2 linked regions of the Tamandua tetradactyla genome follow. The protein of the gene in region 1 purifies or fractionates together with the protein of each later gene. This does not show direct contact. Links are inferred from orthologs where the notes say so. Each region holds a gene or a part of one and is shown in the gene's direction. Other genes may lie near its edges.

The links.
Region 2: the proteins of KDM5B (region 1) and PAX9 purify together in Homo sapiens (affinity purification with western blotting, with the first as the bait; 3 studies listed by BioGRID). This does not show direct contact. The link is inferred for Tamandua tetradactyla from reciprocal best matches to the Homo sapiens genes KDM5B and PAX9.

Annotation. Positions count from the first base shown.
Region 1 is NC_135330.1:60,011,631-60,019,791, reverse strand, and holds the start of KDM5B (lysine-specific demethylase 5B), read left to right. Parts: upstream 1-5,122; 5' UTR 5,123-5,318; coding exon 5,319-5,522; intron 5,523-6,001; exon of another isoform or gene 6,002-6,217; intron 6,218-8,161. Other genes in the region: uncharacterized protein LOC143680256, read left to right, coding at 1,037-1,120, 2,172-2,522, 3,662-3,733. UniProt on the Homo sapiens protein: Histone demethylase that demethylates 'Lys-4' of histone H3, thereby playing a central role in histone code. Does not demethylate histone H3 'Lys-9' or H3 'Lys-27'. Demethylates trimethylated, dimethylated and monomethylated H3 'Lys-4'.
Region 2 is NC_135340.1:16,928,683-16,936,394, reverse strand, and holds the start of PAX9 (paired box protein Pax-9), read left to right. Parts: upstream 1-4,537; 5' UTR 4,538-4,623; intron 4,624-7,310; exon of another isoform or gene 7,311-7,712. UniProt on the Homo sapiens protein: Transcription factor required for normal development of thymus, parathyroid glands, ultimobranchial bodies, teeth, skeletal elements of skull and larynx as well as distal limbs.

The DNA of each region.
Region 1 (8,161 bases):
GTGATGATATTGTGAATTACTGATTATGTATGTTGTTTTATTTTGTTTCTTTATTTTTTTAATTAATAAATTAAAAAAGAAAAAGAGTAGATGGGTATGACTACGGAAAGCTAACTACTGTATTATCTTGATCTGTATCTTGAAAACCACCCAAACAGCAGGAAAAGCTAACTTCGAAGCAGTGTTTTTCAAACTGAGGGTCATAGTCCATAACCAGGTAACAAAACCAACTTAATGAGTCTCATCTCAACTAGCATATAAAGTCACCATTGTATAAGGGTAGGTATTTTGTGAAATTTTGTTGGCATGCAAACAAATGCATTGTAGATTAGTCAAAAAAATTTGAAGGCACTGGGTCTTGGAGGAGGAAAGAATGGGTGATTTGGCCAGGTTAAGGGGTAGCCGGTGGTGAGATTTGAGATGGGGCTTCTGTGCCCCTTTCCTCAGCTTCGGGGAAGTCAATTGGTTGGTTGAGGAAGAACAAAGGTACTAGGATGAAGATTCTAGTCCTAACTCTGCTATTATCTGTGTGGCTTTGGCTAATTAAAATTTCTGAAACTCAACTTTTCCGTCTGGAAAATGGTGACAATTATATCTACCTACTTCACAGCATTGATGTGTCCAATAGTCTGAATCACTCCCAGCCAGTGACCCCATGTTATTCATGTTACTATAGAATTTCTAGCCATTCACATACCCCTGCCCTCTTCCACACACATGGCCAGGGGAGCGAAGAAAGGGAATTAGCCCTTAGCATTTGGTGTGTCAAACCCTGTGCTGGACTCTCAACATGATTTAGTTGAGCACTGAATTTTAGTTGGGTTTAGTGGATGCTCTGTAAAGTTCTGACATTGTTGCAGTTGTTTTCATACTATGAGAAGACTTTCATCCCAGATACAGAGAATTCCAAACATTCTAGAGATCCAAAACCTTAAAACATATTGGGAAGGGCTGCTCAGCCCAGGGACCAAAGTTAGAGTTGGTGGTGGCTGCTGTGGAATGAAGATGTAACCTGGGTTTCTCTCGTTCTTGGCAGCATAAGATTGTTCTGTGGGAGTCCAGGGCTTCTAAAGTGGCCCAACCGGAACGGGAGGAAACACACCCTGAAGCCCTGGTGTGGGTAACTCTGCTTTTCCCCACCCCCACGGACAGGGCTGGGAACACCCTGGGAATGTTTCATTTGCTAGTGCCTGTTGGAGGCTCCAGAAGGAGAGGGCCCAGACAAGAGTCGAACCCTTTTGGCTCCACACCCAAGTAAATTAAAATCCAGGGCTGTAGTTGCAGTAACCCTGCATCCCCTTGGGCTGGATCAGTAGAAAAGGGATACTGGGCTGGAGAGGAAAGGGAGATGAGGAGTAGGAAGAATTTAGTTACTAGGCACTTCCCCAGCCACAGACTCAGCTTCCTAGGGGCAGAAGCCCAAGAACAGCCCCCACTACTGGGAGTGGGACAGAATAGAAGGCACAGAAGTCCCACAGACCAGTTCAGCAGATAGCATAGGAAGAGAGGTTGCGGGTTGGACAGAAATGAGCAGGGTAGGGGAATGCGGCAGGACAGAGGTGGTGTTCAGTTGTGGTGGTCACTCAGTGGGGGGTGGGGGGAGAAATCCCTCAAACTCTTGTGAGCTCTCCTGAGATCCCTTCCTGTTTCACCTGGGCAGCCAGACTCTTCTTTTGGCTGCCCAAAGCTCCATTTTCAACAGTCTGGGCCACAGAAAATCAAGACCATTTTCCCTCCCCTTCCACAAATATTTGTGAAGCATCTACCCTGCCTCGTGCCAGGGCTAGAAACATTACTTCTTTCCGCCAGCGGTTTACAAGTTTGGTAGGAGAGGCATGTGGAAATAAGGTAAATGCCGAGTTCTAAGTGCCTTAATAGAGTAACAAGAAGTAGCTGGAGTGCACAAAATAAAAAAGGACGTCCAAAAGGCTGCAGCTCATCTTGAGAATTCCAAAGGTTTGTGGGTTTCCACAAAGGACCCCAGACACCAAACATTCTATTGTACCAGAGGTGGTGGGGAGAGATTTAGCTGGAGAGATAAGGCACAGAGATCTATTATAAAGAAGTAGAGGAAAACCCGTGCATTGGGGAACTGGGGAAAAAGAGAAAGAGATAGGTGTATCAATAGGGTTCGGAAGGGAAAGATGACGCCAGAAGGGACGCAGCACTAGCAAGGCGCAGAGGCCGGAGGTCAAGGCGGAAGGGAGGCGCGCGGTCGACACCCCGAGCCCTGGAAAGTTAGCCGAGTCGGCGACGGAGGGGGTGGGGAGCGGGCCCTACACGTGCGCTACGTGCTGCGCGGGCCGCCACCCCCTCCCCGGCAGCTGGGGATCTGGACCTGCCCCCCTCATCCCGGGGCCCAGTTCCTAGCAGTACGCAGGGGACCGTGGGGAGGAAGTCGCTCCCCCAGTATGGAACCCAGGAGCGTGGTCTTCCATCGCAGCGGCCGGAAGGAGAGCGGGGAGCAACTCGTCACGCGGCGGGAGGATCTAGGGTCGAAGGCCGCAGCTCTGGGGACGTCGGTCCGAGGCTAGGGTTGGGGAGGCGGTGAGATGGTGCGGGGGAGAAGGGTAGACTAGATGAGGATGGAGACCCCTAGGAATGTGTCCAAAGTATCTGGTGTTGCCAAAATGGGGGTGGTTTGGGGGACGGAGGCCCGGGTAGGGGCGGAGTGTTGTCCAAGAGTAAGGAGGGGGTTCCTGGAGACGTGGCACTCCGAGCTGGGCTTGGTTCCGCTTCGGCCGCCTGGGTTCCAGCCCTGCTTTCCCCGGGAACCCGAACCTGACCCCGCCCAGGCTTCGTTCCCAATCCTCTGGAAGCACCACTCGGGCACCTCCGGACCCGGGTTACCCAGGTCCGGCCTCTGGGGCTTCCAGCCGGCCCTAGACGAGACAATGCGGCCGGGGCCCCGCCCCCGGAGGCTGGTGCGGCCCTGGCCGCGGCCAATCACCGCCTGTGGCTAGGCTCTTTAAAAAAAGAAGAGCCGGCCGCGGTGTGGCTGTCAGCTGGTGAGGGATCCCTCCGCCCATGTAAACACACATCATAAAGGGCAAGGAGAAGCGTCTTCTGCCCGGCGGGAGAGCTGTCTCGGTCCCTAGGTTCCCCTCACTACCCTGGCAACCGTCCCCCCCCGCCCCAACCCCAACGTCACATCATGCCCATGGGGAGCCAACGGCTGCAGCCTAATCTACGAGCAACAGAATCTCATCATTTAGGGTCACTACCGGAAATGGAAGAAGCGGGACTGGGAGACCTCTGGAGTTGGGAACGTGAGAGAATATTAGGACACAGTGGAAAATTGGGAAAGATTTTCTTAGACTTGTTTTTAACTCATATATGTCTAGTATTTTTCGCAAAGTTATACCTACCTGGCTTGTAGGATAGAAACATTAAGGGTGAAAATAGTTTTAGCGCTCTGCCAGGAGGGAGCACATGACAGGAAATCAACTCCATTAAGACCCTCAGAAGCCCCGGAGTGTTTATGGCAAAAAAGCAACAATGATCCCCCCCTCCAACATTTTATAATGAAAAAGTTTAAAACATTTGGCAAAGCTAAAATGTTTTTTCACTAAATTCTCGTATATCCACCTAGATTTTGCCACTAACATTTTACTTTCATTTGCTGTCTCTCTTACACTGATGACTTCTTTTGCTCTAATAGGTTGCCAGCTTGCCCTTGGCTGAATGTCCATTGCAATGGGAAGCAGAGAAAGACTTAGTCTCAAACTTCTAGCGCTAAGATAAGGACTTCCTTTTCAGAGTACCTCTCTAAACTCTTTTGGGGCCAGGTAACTCTGGGAAGGGTTTAAATGAAGAGGAGACTCAAAAAATAAAAGTGAAGACTCTTGAAGGATACGGCACTTCTTTCCTCTACGTGGATCTGAAAGCAGGCCTAGGACCGTTGATTGCTTGTAAGGACTATTGATTGCCCTGGAGAACAGTCCTTCCAAGATTTTGGCTGCTTTCTGGATAAAAGAGGTCTTTTCAGTGTTAAAGTTCTACACTCCAAATAAAGTGCCTCAAAAGCGTTCTTATCTCTTAAAGTTAATCTCTGTGCCTCCACTGGCCTGTAAAATGGGGATAATACCATTATGTACTCCATACAATTGTTGTGAAGACTCAATAAGCTAAACAATAGCTCTTATTCCATACACTAAAAAACAAACCCTAGATTATTTTCTCCAGTTCTGATATCTTCCGTTCAGATACATACCCTTAAGCCTGTGGGACATCTCCAGCTGTGTGTACCAAAAACACCTCAAACTCAACCTATCCAGAAGTAAACCCATTACCTTCCTTCCAAGACTGATTGCTTATTGCTTACGTAATCTAACAATGTCAGTGCTGGTATACACTCACTGCCCCGTCCCCAATCTATCACTACATCCTATTTTTATCTCCTACATTTGACTTCCTGTCTCTGTCAATAGCACCCATTAATTTAGGACCCATTATTTCTCATCTGGACTATGGCAATAGCCTTATTTCTCTACAATCAACCTTGTCAGAATGCTTGTGGACCACTCTTTTTCCGTGTAACACCTCAACCTCCCAAAAGATAAATTTCCATCACCAGTTAGCTGTGTGAATTTGAGCAGATTACTGTCTGTGCCTCTCTTTCCTTGTTTGTAAAATGAAAATACGAGCACATACCTGCTAAGATGATTGTGAAGATTAAATGACTAATTTAGAAAAGCATTTAGAACAGTGTCTAGAATACGCAAGTGCTCAAGTGTTGGCTATTATTTTCTCACATCCCTTCTGTTATGTTCAAGCGGCTCCCTCTACCTGGGAAATCCTTTTCTCCCAGTACTTTCTGTCCCTCGCCAGGTTTTACTAAGTGTCTATCACGGCACCTACCATGGTGTATTGATATGTTTGAAACAATCGATTTATGTGTGTGATCGTCTCCACCAGATTATTAACTCCTCGAGGGCAGGGGCTCTGGCACATAAGTAAATGGTCCATAAACATAGGCTCGGCTGAACCGTAAGAATAAAACTCCTTCGCCAGGAGGAAGGCCCCGGCCCCGCCCGGTTCGGGGGCGGGGCGGGGAGCTCGGCACAGGGCGGGGGGGGGGGGTGCGTGTGGGGGTGGGGTGGGACTCTTTTTCCTCGCCGTGGCGGCGGAGGCGCACGGCGTGGGTTAGCGGCAAGACGTCGTCGGAGGAAGGCTGAAAAAGCCCAAGGTGCTGCCGTTGCTAATACAAGTCGGACTTGCTGTTGCCTAAGCTACGTCTGCAGAAGTCTCAGACCGAACGGACCTCGCACCGCGGTCTTCAAGTTCACCACCTCTTCGTCCCTGCCCGACCCCCAGCGATGGAGTCGGCCACCGCGCTGCCCCCGGGCCCGCGCCCGGCGCTACCCCTGGGGGGCCCGGGCCCGCTGGGCGAGTTCCTGCCTCCCCCCGAGTGCCCTGTCTTCGAACCCAGCTGGGAAGAGTTTGCGGACCCCTTCGCTTTCATCCACAAGATCCGGCCCATAGCCGAGCAGACGGGGATCTGTAAGGTGCGGCCGCCACCGGTGAGTCACGCCAGCACTCCGGATCCTGCTCGCGGCTGGGGGAGGGAGCGAGGACGCGTGGGGCCGGGGAGGCCTGAGGCGCGGGGGGCGGAGAGGACGTCAAGTTTGGGGCGGCCCAGAGGGTCGGAGTTGAGGCAGGGCAGGAAGACTGGGGCTTCTTCAGAGTGGGAAAGCGGGGGTTTGGTGGTGCCACCGGGAGGGCCTGGTCGGCGCGGGGCTCCGGCAGGCGGGTGTGCGACCCGGCCCGGGGGTTCGAGTTCGGTTGCGGGTGGAGTGGTGGCAGGGGACGGAGGATGGTGGCGGGGGTGTTTCCACCCGGAGCCAGGCGGAGGCGCGGGCGGGGAGGGAGGGCTGGCTCTGGGCTCGGCGAGGCTCCGCAGGCTGGTCCTCGCCTCCTCCTCCGGGGTGCGGGGGTGTGTGATGGGGTGGGGGTGGGGGAGTTGCGAGTTGTCGTGCGAGGAGGAAAGTTTTCAATATGGCGGCGGGAGCCCCTGGTCCTTTGTGTGGTGGTGGCGTCGGCCCGGAGTGGCCCTCACCTGGGCGCCCCACCCTCCAGACCAGGGCACCCCCCACCCCCTTGTCCTCGAGTCTACTGGTGCTCCCCGGGTCGGGGTTGAGGAGGGGGAGTCCAGCGTTGCCGGAGGGCGGGGAAGGAGCCGCGGATCCAGCCCCGGAGCGAATGTGTTGTGGGGGGCGTAAGTGTCTGGAGGGCACTTTTGGGGCGGTGGAGGGCAGGACCGGCGGTGGTGGGCCGCGATGCCGCCTGCGGTCCGGTGTTCTGTCGCACCCGACTCTGGCCCAACCGCTCGGCTCCCTGGGGGGAGGCGTGGGCCGTGTTGGTGAGGGGTGGATGGAGTGGGGACGAGGCTGCATTTATGGGTTAGATGTCAGAGAAGACTTCCGAAGATTTAATACTCAATTTCCCAGCCCCCCAAGCTCCAGGAACGGAAGTGTAGTCTCCCACCTCAGCTCCTCAGGCCCTGTCTAAAGTGCCATGGACTGGGGGTTGTGTGTGTTTCTGAGATCATCCCTAACGGCTCCAAGGTTCTCTGAGGCAGGCCCGGCCAACTCCCTCCCCACCCCTTTCGGACCCCGAGCTGGGTGCGCTCCTACCCCCCTGTTTGTGTCCAACTTTTGGGATCGTCTAAGTCCGAGTTGGAGTAAACGACGGTTGGACCGGCTGAGACCGTTGGGACGGAGGTTTAACTGCCTTTCCTGCTGTTTAAGAATCTTCTCCTTGCTCCAATCCCCCGCCCCCCCCCAAAAAAAAGTGTAGGAAGAGCCCCTTCCATCCCTTTCTCCCATTAACTTTGCTCTTTGTAATGACATTTTTAGTTGCAGGAATTCTGTATGTGGTCATTTCTGTTTTGGAAGAGTTTTGAGGGAAATTCCTGAATAAGTCTTTAGCGCTCCCACCCTGCCCCTCACCCCGAAATTAAAACAAGGACACCATACTTTTGTTTTTCTTGGTCATGTTTGAAAATGGAGATGAAATATATGTCTTAGAAAATAACTGGCCAACAAATTTGGGAGAAACGTTTAAAAAATGGATTTCTCAAGTGGTTAGGGTTGATTCTTGTTGCTCTGGGGAACTAAATTTAGAGTGCAAAGAGGCCTGCAGAAGTTAGCTAAGCGTGACTGGTTTGAACCAAGATTTTTAATTCTTGAAGAATAGGTTATGTTTCAAACATTTAGCATTTGAGTTTTATTTGCACAAGTGAGATTTTCTTCATAATTAAGGCAACTTGAGTAAGTTCTGGTTAGCCGAAATGTGAAGAGTCTGGTTCCTGGGAGTTGTCCTCCATGTTGGTATTGTGGTATACTAAGGCTGGGATAAACCCTTTATCTTCTTTTCTTATTCTGTAACTTTTATAGGGCCTTTTCCTGAAAAAGATAGTGTTGCTTTGATTAGGTTTGGCTACCCATTTCCCCATCTTGGCTAGCATATTAATAGTTGCCTTTGCAAAATGTTTGATTGTATTGCCTTTTCCTACTTTGAATGTCAGACATGATGGCCACCATTTTGTATTGAGAATACAACATACTACAGCCTGGGAAAGGATGATAAAGAGGCACAACTAATCTACAAAAATAACCAGTGCTCTGTTTGGAGATTGCCTTTGTGTGGAGGGGGCTTGCCTCCTCCTTTGTTTAGCAAACTCCAATGCCAAATAGACTTTGTGGAGTATTTGTTATTGATATAACCACAAAAAGGGAAATCTTTCCAGAAGTTGTACCTCTTAGAAAGGGGTCTTGTTGGAACAAAGGCTTCTTAAGAGATGTAAACAGTCTTTGTTTTAGAAACTGTTTTGTTTTCGGAAAGCTAACTGTGAACAAGTGGTTTCATATAGTTGAAATGTAGCAACAAAAAACCCTTGACGAGGTATGAAATATTTTCCATGCGAAGAGCTATAGAATACCTGTGCTTCTACATGATTTTTGTTCACTGAGTTTTTGAGACACAAGTGACAATATTAAAAGAGGAATTGAGGCTATAGGTATTTTACTTTTAGGAGGAGAGAACAAAAATTATAAAGCATTTCTGTTTCCTTTTGTTCTTAATTTTTTCTTTAATGGTACTTACAGAGCTTTAGTTACTAGCTGCTTTTTCAGTGAGGGTCCTAAGCTGCTTGGCTTCT
Region 2 (7,712 bases), on another chromosome or scaffold:
TTATTGAGGACCCAAGATTTGCAATTTGACACTCTGACCTTCATCACTGCAAATAAAACAGTGAAATTCACATTGTGTGCTGCAAATATGATCATAAAAAGATAATGGCTATGTTTTGGTGCCACCACTCTCTTCCAGCACACACCCAGGGTTCAAAGTTAGAAAGAGAATTGTTCTTCTTTGGAAGATGTTTTGTTTAACAGTTATTGTAGAATATTTGCTCCCTGAGCTATGCACAAGTCTAAGAAGAAAATGGCCATGCATTATTTGGTGTGTGACCTGAAGAGTGAATTGTTCAAAATAATACAATTGGTATTTAGAACTATTGAGAGTTCAGATGAATAATCATCTCCCCCAAATTATGAGCTTTACAAAAAAAAAATTGCTGTTCTAATTGAGATTGGCAAGTAGAATATACTGCAGAAAGGAACCCAATTTATGTTCCAAGAAAGCTCTAGGAGAAAAGAGAGCCCATGCTCTGTAGAAATCATGGTTTCTAATATGACTACATGTATGGACTTCATCTACAGATTCAAGAGAGAATCTATCCAGGACACTGATAACTTTGAGAAGCTTCCATCTCCCCAAGCTCCACTTTTGAAAGTCTGAAGCCCATGTTCCCCTAATGCTATATAACTAAGGTCACCCTACCTGCTTTTAAGGGCAAAAGAATTTGTGAGCAAGTACAGATGGCAAATGTTGACCTTATGTTCTCTGTGTGCTAATTTCTCCAAAACATGTAAAGGTCTGGATATACTTTTCATGGATTGTTTGAAATCTAAGCTTCAAGATAGATCCAGCCATATATGCATTTATGGTGGTTTGGGAATCTAATATGAACAAAGTTAACTGCTTTTTGACCTCACTGGAACTCATCTTGGTAATGTTATGCTTAGTTTCCTGGTGTGCCTTAAAATATTTAAAGGATTTCATGGAATTTTAACTGGAAAAGAACATTTTAAAAATCAAATTCATGTGAAATGTTGCTTTATTATCTGGAGTGGATAGGTGTGTGTGTCTGTTGTGTATGTGTATCTTTGTGTGTTTTAAATAAAGAATGGTAGGTGGTATGGAGATGGAGCTAAGGGAAAAGACAAACACAGAATAGGTGCTAATTGAACAGCAAACTCTTCTGGTGTCCAAAGTTTCCCATAGATGTTGGATATAGGTTGTAGTAATTTGTGTTCCCATTTCATATTCTGAGTTTCTAAGCACAAGTGATGCCATGCATCAAAAGAAGGATTCTGTGTTTCTTCAAGTTAGTGCTGGCTTCATTAGGGTAGGGGGAGAAAGGGCCTTGGACCATTATTTAGTCCTTAGGGTGAGCACAGTGCCTTTATGGGACTTAAAAAGCAAATAAAGGATCTAAATTCAGCCCTTTGAACCTGGGACAATTCTGAAAAGCTCACACAGGGGGTTAACTTTAGAGGTAAGTTGGTATCTTTTTCTTATAAATGAGTTCAATAAGTTTATTGAGAACCACACATGCAAATTTTATGGGCAATATGTGTGATAGCAGCAACAATGAATTTAACTTCCAAAGTTTGTATCACTCTCCTATTAATCCCAGCATCCATTTTGCCTTCCCCTGATACTTGGAAGCAGGTGATACAAAGGAGAAAAGTATGTTCCTTTTAAAGTAAGATCAGCCTACTTTCCTCCTTCTCAAAATAACTATATTCACCAAAAAAGGGTCTTCTATATTGATTTTCACTAACTTCACATTCTTAGATTGTGAATGATCTCCAATCAGCTCTATTTAAGCATTATATTTACCAGGAAGTCTTGGTTACCAGGGAAGTATCCATTTAGATTCGCCCACCTGAGCACTCCCTGTACTATATTCTGGGTCAAGTACACGCTTCCCTTCCTTATGTTTTACTGTGTTTAAAAACACCAATCATTATGAAATGTTCATGAGACATTTTTTGTTCCTTCACACTGCATCCATACTTGCTTTCCAGAATGATTCAATTCTTTAAGGCTTAACTATATCATGAGAAGAATTTCTTCAGGGAGAGAGTAGGAATTACAAATCCGTTTGTTTGAGGATGTTTTCTTGACAGTGAGGTGATAGAATTGTGACATCTGAAAGTATACCTTGACTTTTGGTGACATGTACAGACTACATAGATTTGCTCTCATCATGTCTATTGACTCAAGAAATTTTCCCTTAGGAAAAAAAATGGCAGTTTTTAATGTAGCATCATCCAAGTGTATACTATTCATTCCTTCTATTGAACTCAATGTATATTTTACCCCAAGGGCATATTTTCCTCGTTGAGACTAATTTTCTCTAATAAGAATAATAATACCTTCTATATACCTAATACCTTCATCCCAAAAACCCTCCTTGCTTTGCCAGTTCCATGATGAGACACACAGAGCATGTACAAGTATAGCCAAGAGCCATAGCTCATTTTACACACAACTCTACAAGGTTAACCCTCTGTTTTCTGTTCACCTTTTTTGTTCCCTTTGACACAGGGAACTCTTGAGAAACAGAAAGTCTTAAGGTGATTTTGTTTAGTAGTTAGAATATTGACAAGTTTGATTCCAAAAGACTCATGTATGCTTTTTGGCTAGCCTTTCAAGAGGAAACTTCAAAAGTCTTCCAGAAAGACTCTTTCTGGAAGTAATAGAGCATAGATAACTTAGCAACATCTGACATTCCAGCACAGAATGTATTTTGACCGTATATTCTCCTGCTGGCAAAACTAAGGAGATACAGTTTAGTTCTAAAATAAAATTATGTGAGTTCAGTTCTAAAATAAAAATTGGGGAAGAAATATGGAAAGCACACCCACTCACATCAGTTACCATTTAAGGGTTTCATTTTATGTCAGAGCTTGAGTATAGAGCTGGTCTTGAATCATACAACTCTGGATTTAGTATTTCAAAGATCTCGAGGTATATAAACATTTACGGCATATCTGTATTTTGTTTTGAGTTGGCTTTATGTTACCTATGAATTAATTTAACTTCTTTAAGCTTTAAACTATTCACGCATACATGCACTGAAGTACTTTCATCTAGCAAGTAGCCACTGAAATCTACTGGCATGAAGCGTTCAAAACGCAAATGAAAAGTCTGCCCAGTCAAGTAGCGCTACGGTGATCCTTTTTTAAACACAGCAGCGGAGTGCCTGGTTGCTGGAACGGCCTGGCTGGGGAGACTTGTAAATGTACCATGCATTATAGAGCTCGGGCAGCGGGGCAGCGGGGGTGATTTAACACAACTAAAAGAATTTTTAACTTTTCCATTTCCTGACTTTCAGGGGTTTAAATTTTTAGCGTTAAACTGGCATTACCAAAGGTTTTACATTGAGTAATGGGATCATTATTTCTCCCCCCACTGAAAGGCGGGTCTTCAAGAATGGAACCATGTGGCTGAGCAGAACTCAATCCCAAAGGAATTGCATAGGAATCGCTCAGGCAATAACAACTGCTAAGGGAATTTGTGTTGTCAGCTTGCCAGAACATCAGATCCACACGTCTGGTCTTGCAGGAAGGTGCTAGAGAACTTTTTAAAGGTCCCTCTTGACCGTGACCGTGGCTTTCTATTCTTCCAAAGAAGTGGCTCACCCGTCTGCCACCATTTAGGGTTTGCATCTCCATCCTGAAGGAAACAGAACCAGCCTCCTTCTCCCCACCCTGTATCTACTGGGGAGTCTCAAGAAGAGCAGCTGCATGAATCATATCATAAACAGGACACTGGCCCAGCATTTCTGGTGGAAATCTGGGGTTGCAATCTTTCCTCTCTCCACTGCAGCCATTAAACTATAGGCTGGAGACAGCGCAGCAATAGAACCCAAGCTGTAATGCTTGAGTATGTAAGAACTTTCATAACAGAATTTGAAGAATTGGGATAAAACAAGTGTTGATATTGTTTGAAACTCTACTTCATATTCTTAAATTCTCTTCTCAAGAAATATATTTCTCTTAGTAGCCCATCTCTTACTAATTATAATCATATTATTAAATGCCCTACAAAGTAAATCTATGTGGTTAGCATATGCAGATAATCATATTTGCAGACATTTTTAAATGCGTGGGTAGCTTTTAAGTATCCAAATTATGTGAAGCATAGACAAACCTTTTGAAAAGTTTTTTTTTTTTTGCCTCTGTTAAAGTTTCATATCTGTACTGAACAAAACCAATAGCACTTGTTTGGGTTTTCCTGAAGACTTTTGACTAATTTATACTAATTTCTAAAACGTTTCATTAGAATGAAAAAAAGTTAATCATATAAAGGCAGCATCTCTCTCTCCCTCCCTCCCTCCCTCCCTCCCTCTCTCTCTCTCTTGCCCTCTCGTCAGAAAAACAAAAACAAAACAGGTTGTACCTGGTGACAAAATTTGTTTGCTCTGCAAAAATGTACAGTGCTTTATCCTTCCTGGCTTAGAAAAGAGTTTAGATGCTTTTGAGAGATTACATTCATTCCATTTTTACATTTCTCTTCCTTAGCCTCTGTGCACTCAGTAAAAACCATATTGTTGAGTCTCTCAGCAATCTCCTCAGAACTGCCCCCCAGCCATGTTCCTGGAAAAGTGGTCATACTCTGTGTCCCCAGCGGCCGGGACACAGAAGACTGTCTCACAATGCCGCACTGTTGCGGGGAGAGGTAGGCGGCCAGTTCCCTTGATGCTCGCGGTGGGGGTGATTGTAGACGGGCAGGACCATGCGCTGGCTCCGGGAGGAGGAAGGGGTGAGTCCTGGACGCCGCAGGTGGGGCTGGTGGACCGACAGTCTGCGGGCCGAGTGGCCTTCTGAGCCTGCCCAGCCCCGGAGAAGGTCCAACCCAGCCGGAAAGAAGAGCTGCGGCTTAGGACCTCCGGCGCCCGGTGCGGGGGGCGGCTGCAATCTCCAGCCCTTGCCGCGGCAGTACACGTAGCCCCCCCCCGCCCCCCCCCCCCCCCCCCCCCCCGGCTGCAGAGCTTTTTGACTCCAGGCAAGACGTGGGGTGGCGAAATCTGGGTCCAGATCACAGTTTCTGTCTGAAAGCATCGGCTTGGGTTTTCCCAGCCCGTGTCACCTTCACAACTCCCAAGCAAGAGACAACGGAGGATCAAATTCGGAGCAGGCAGTAGCTGCTGTGCGTTTCCCCCCAGGCCACTAAATGCGACCCGCTGCCCCCAGCCACCTCAGGGCTTTATCATCTTCTGGCTAACACTTTCCTAGGGTTCGCCTTTATCATGGTGATTTTTAAAATAATTTATTTCTCCCGCTGTATCAAGGGTAACGACAGAGTCAAGACGGACTCTGAAGATACACCCGAAAGGAAACAAAAGGCAACTGTGACCTCAACTCTGGTACAGGGAGCGCGACTTGTTCCACTGGGGTCCAGCTAGCTGGGTTCATTATGGGGTCTAATGTCATTGCACCTCGACCCCTCCGAGTTTGTTCCTACCATAGTAGTCTTAAAAAAGAAAAAAAACACACACACAGGCACACATCGAAATGATGCCCAGAAGGATAAATCAGGATTTCTTCAATCTGGGACTGGTAAGTTGGGAGTGCACAGGGGGCCAGACGGACATGTCCCGGCAATCAGAGAACACATCCCACGGAGGAGCAGCGCATTCCCGCGTCCTCCCGGTCCTCACCATGCCCCTCTCCCGCCGCTCCGGGTGGACGCTGCCGACTGCTGCGGTCACCGGGCTCCGCGACTCTAGGCCCTAGGGCAGCACGGGCCAGAGAAGGCTAAGCACCGAGCTCACGCAGCCGGAGATCAGTCTGTCTCCTTACGTCTATGGGTCAGCCCCGACCTCTACGGTGTCGATCCTGTGGCTGCAGTGAGGGCCTAGGGGGCAAACCTTTTTTTGTGTAACCTCAGTCGAATCTCTAAGATTGGATGCAGGAGGAAGGGGCTCCACCTTCCGTGCAGACACGGCGGTAAGAGGCTCCTTTGGGCGTCTCAGCTGAAGCTGTTGCTCTAGCCTAGGGAAATGACAGCCACGGTGTTTGGGGACACGGTGGGGGTTCAGATCCCACAGCTGTACTCTTAATTAATCGGGTGATCTCATTGAATCTGGGCATACTATGTGCTCTTATTTACTCTGTCTCTGTTTTCTCTGCTGTAAAGCCGGAAGGGTCTTAATACCTCCTTCGCAAGGTTATTGTGAGGATGGGGGCAGATCACTTATGAGAGCGCTTGGGACGTTGTGGACCCTCCATAAGTGGAGGATGAGTTGGAGAAGGGTGGGCCTAAGCTGCCCCCAGCTGCTGCGCGGAGACTCCTTGGCCTCGGGATTTCCAGCCCACAGCAGGTGGCCCTGAGTAGCCCCTGGGGGGCCCGCGACGGGGATCCTGCAAGACGTTTCTATGAATACCGAACGGTCTGACTCTCCGGCTGCTTTGGAGACTGATGGAGAAAGCAGAGGGATTTGGAGCCCAGGGGAGAATTGAGGGTGGAGGGGAGAACTGGAAAAGAGAAAGAGAAAGAGAGAGAGAGAGAGGCCTTTCTCAATCTCGGCAAAGCAGTGCGGTCAAATCCGACGCCTGTAGGTGGCGCCGTGACCGGGAGTGGCTGCGGGAAGAGGGGCGTCCAGGGACCTGACGACCTCGGGGAAACTCTCCGTGACTCCCACCCTGGCCCTCTGCTCCCCGGCTCCGCTTCCTGTTTTCGGGGAGGGGGGAAAGGGCGGTAACGAGGACAATGCAGCACGATTCCTCGCTCTCGGCGCCAGTGCGGGACCGGTGGGCTGTAGAGTGAGCACGGCTGTAGAGTGAGCACGGAGAACATGCTGCCTGGACGACTCCATGGGCGAAGCGCCACCCGTGAGGCGAGGGAGGCGCGCGGTGAACGAGCGCGGGCCTCTGCACCATCGAACAGGGGGGAAATGCCCGTGCCCAGCGCGCCGGCTCCGGCCTGCGGGGCTGACGCTGGCTTCTCGGATGCCGTGGACAGGGTCTGGGAGGGTCGTCCCCTCGGTCAAGGGGCGTCTGGCCCAGCCGTGCCACCATCTGACCCTGGACAAGAAGTACACAGGCCGGGCCTCCCAGACTCGGACAATCGAGACCTTGCCAGAAAGCATAACCTGGAGCACTGGGAAGGCCCGGAAGGGCTTCGCGTTTGCTGGAGCCTGGAAACCAGAGCTTGGAGGCGCCGCCTGGTTTGCGTTAGCCTGTTCCCTGAAGGGTCTGCAGAAGGAAGCGGCCCTACCCGCCTTGCGCGGCCGCCCGAAGTACCGAGGACAGGGTCTCGGACAGCTGTTATTTAAGAAGGCGAAGCCCACCCGGTAACTCTGCTTTTCCCTTAAGCAGCTGCGATTCCCTTGAGTGATGGTGGAAGGCGTCCTGCTCTCGTCACCCAGTCGCGTGTCCGCGCCCGGCGCCGCGACCCCGACAAGACAGAGTCTCCCGCCGGGCCGCTGCCCCCCGCCGGCCAGGCTCCCATCCTCGCTCTTTCTTGCCGCCCCACAGCCATGAGTTTCACCCCCTTGCACAAAAATATGTTCTTTCAGTTGCGGATTTAATAAACAAACGTAACCGTATCACATGGGGCTCGGCGCGGTCCTTCTGAAAGCAATTCTGTTCTTGAAAACTGAAAAATGGGTGTAATTTGCGTTCAGAAAGTGATGTTAAGGTCATGGCAATTTCCCTGCCGTTATTTGTTTTTACTTTGAAGTCTTTAGGGAAGATTTGCTTATACAATCGGAAACTTTCCAATGTGAGGGTACTAGCAATCCCGCCTGCCTTCAACACGGGGAG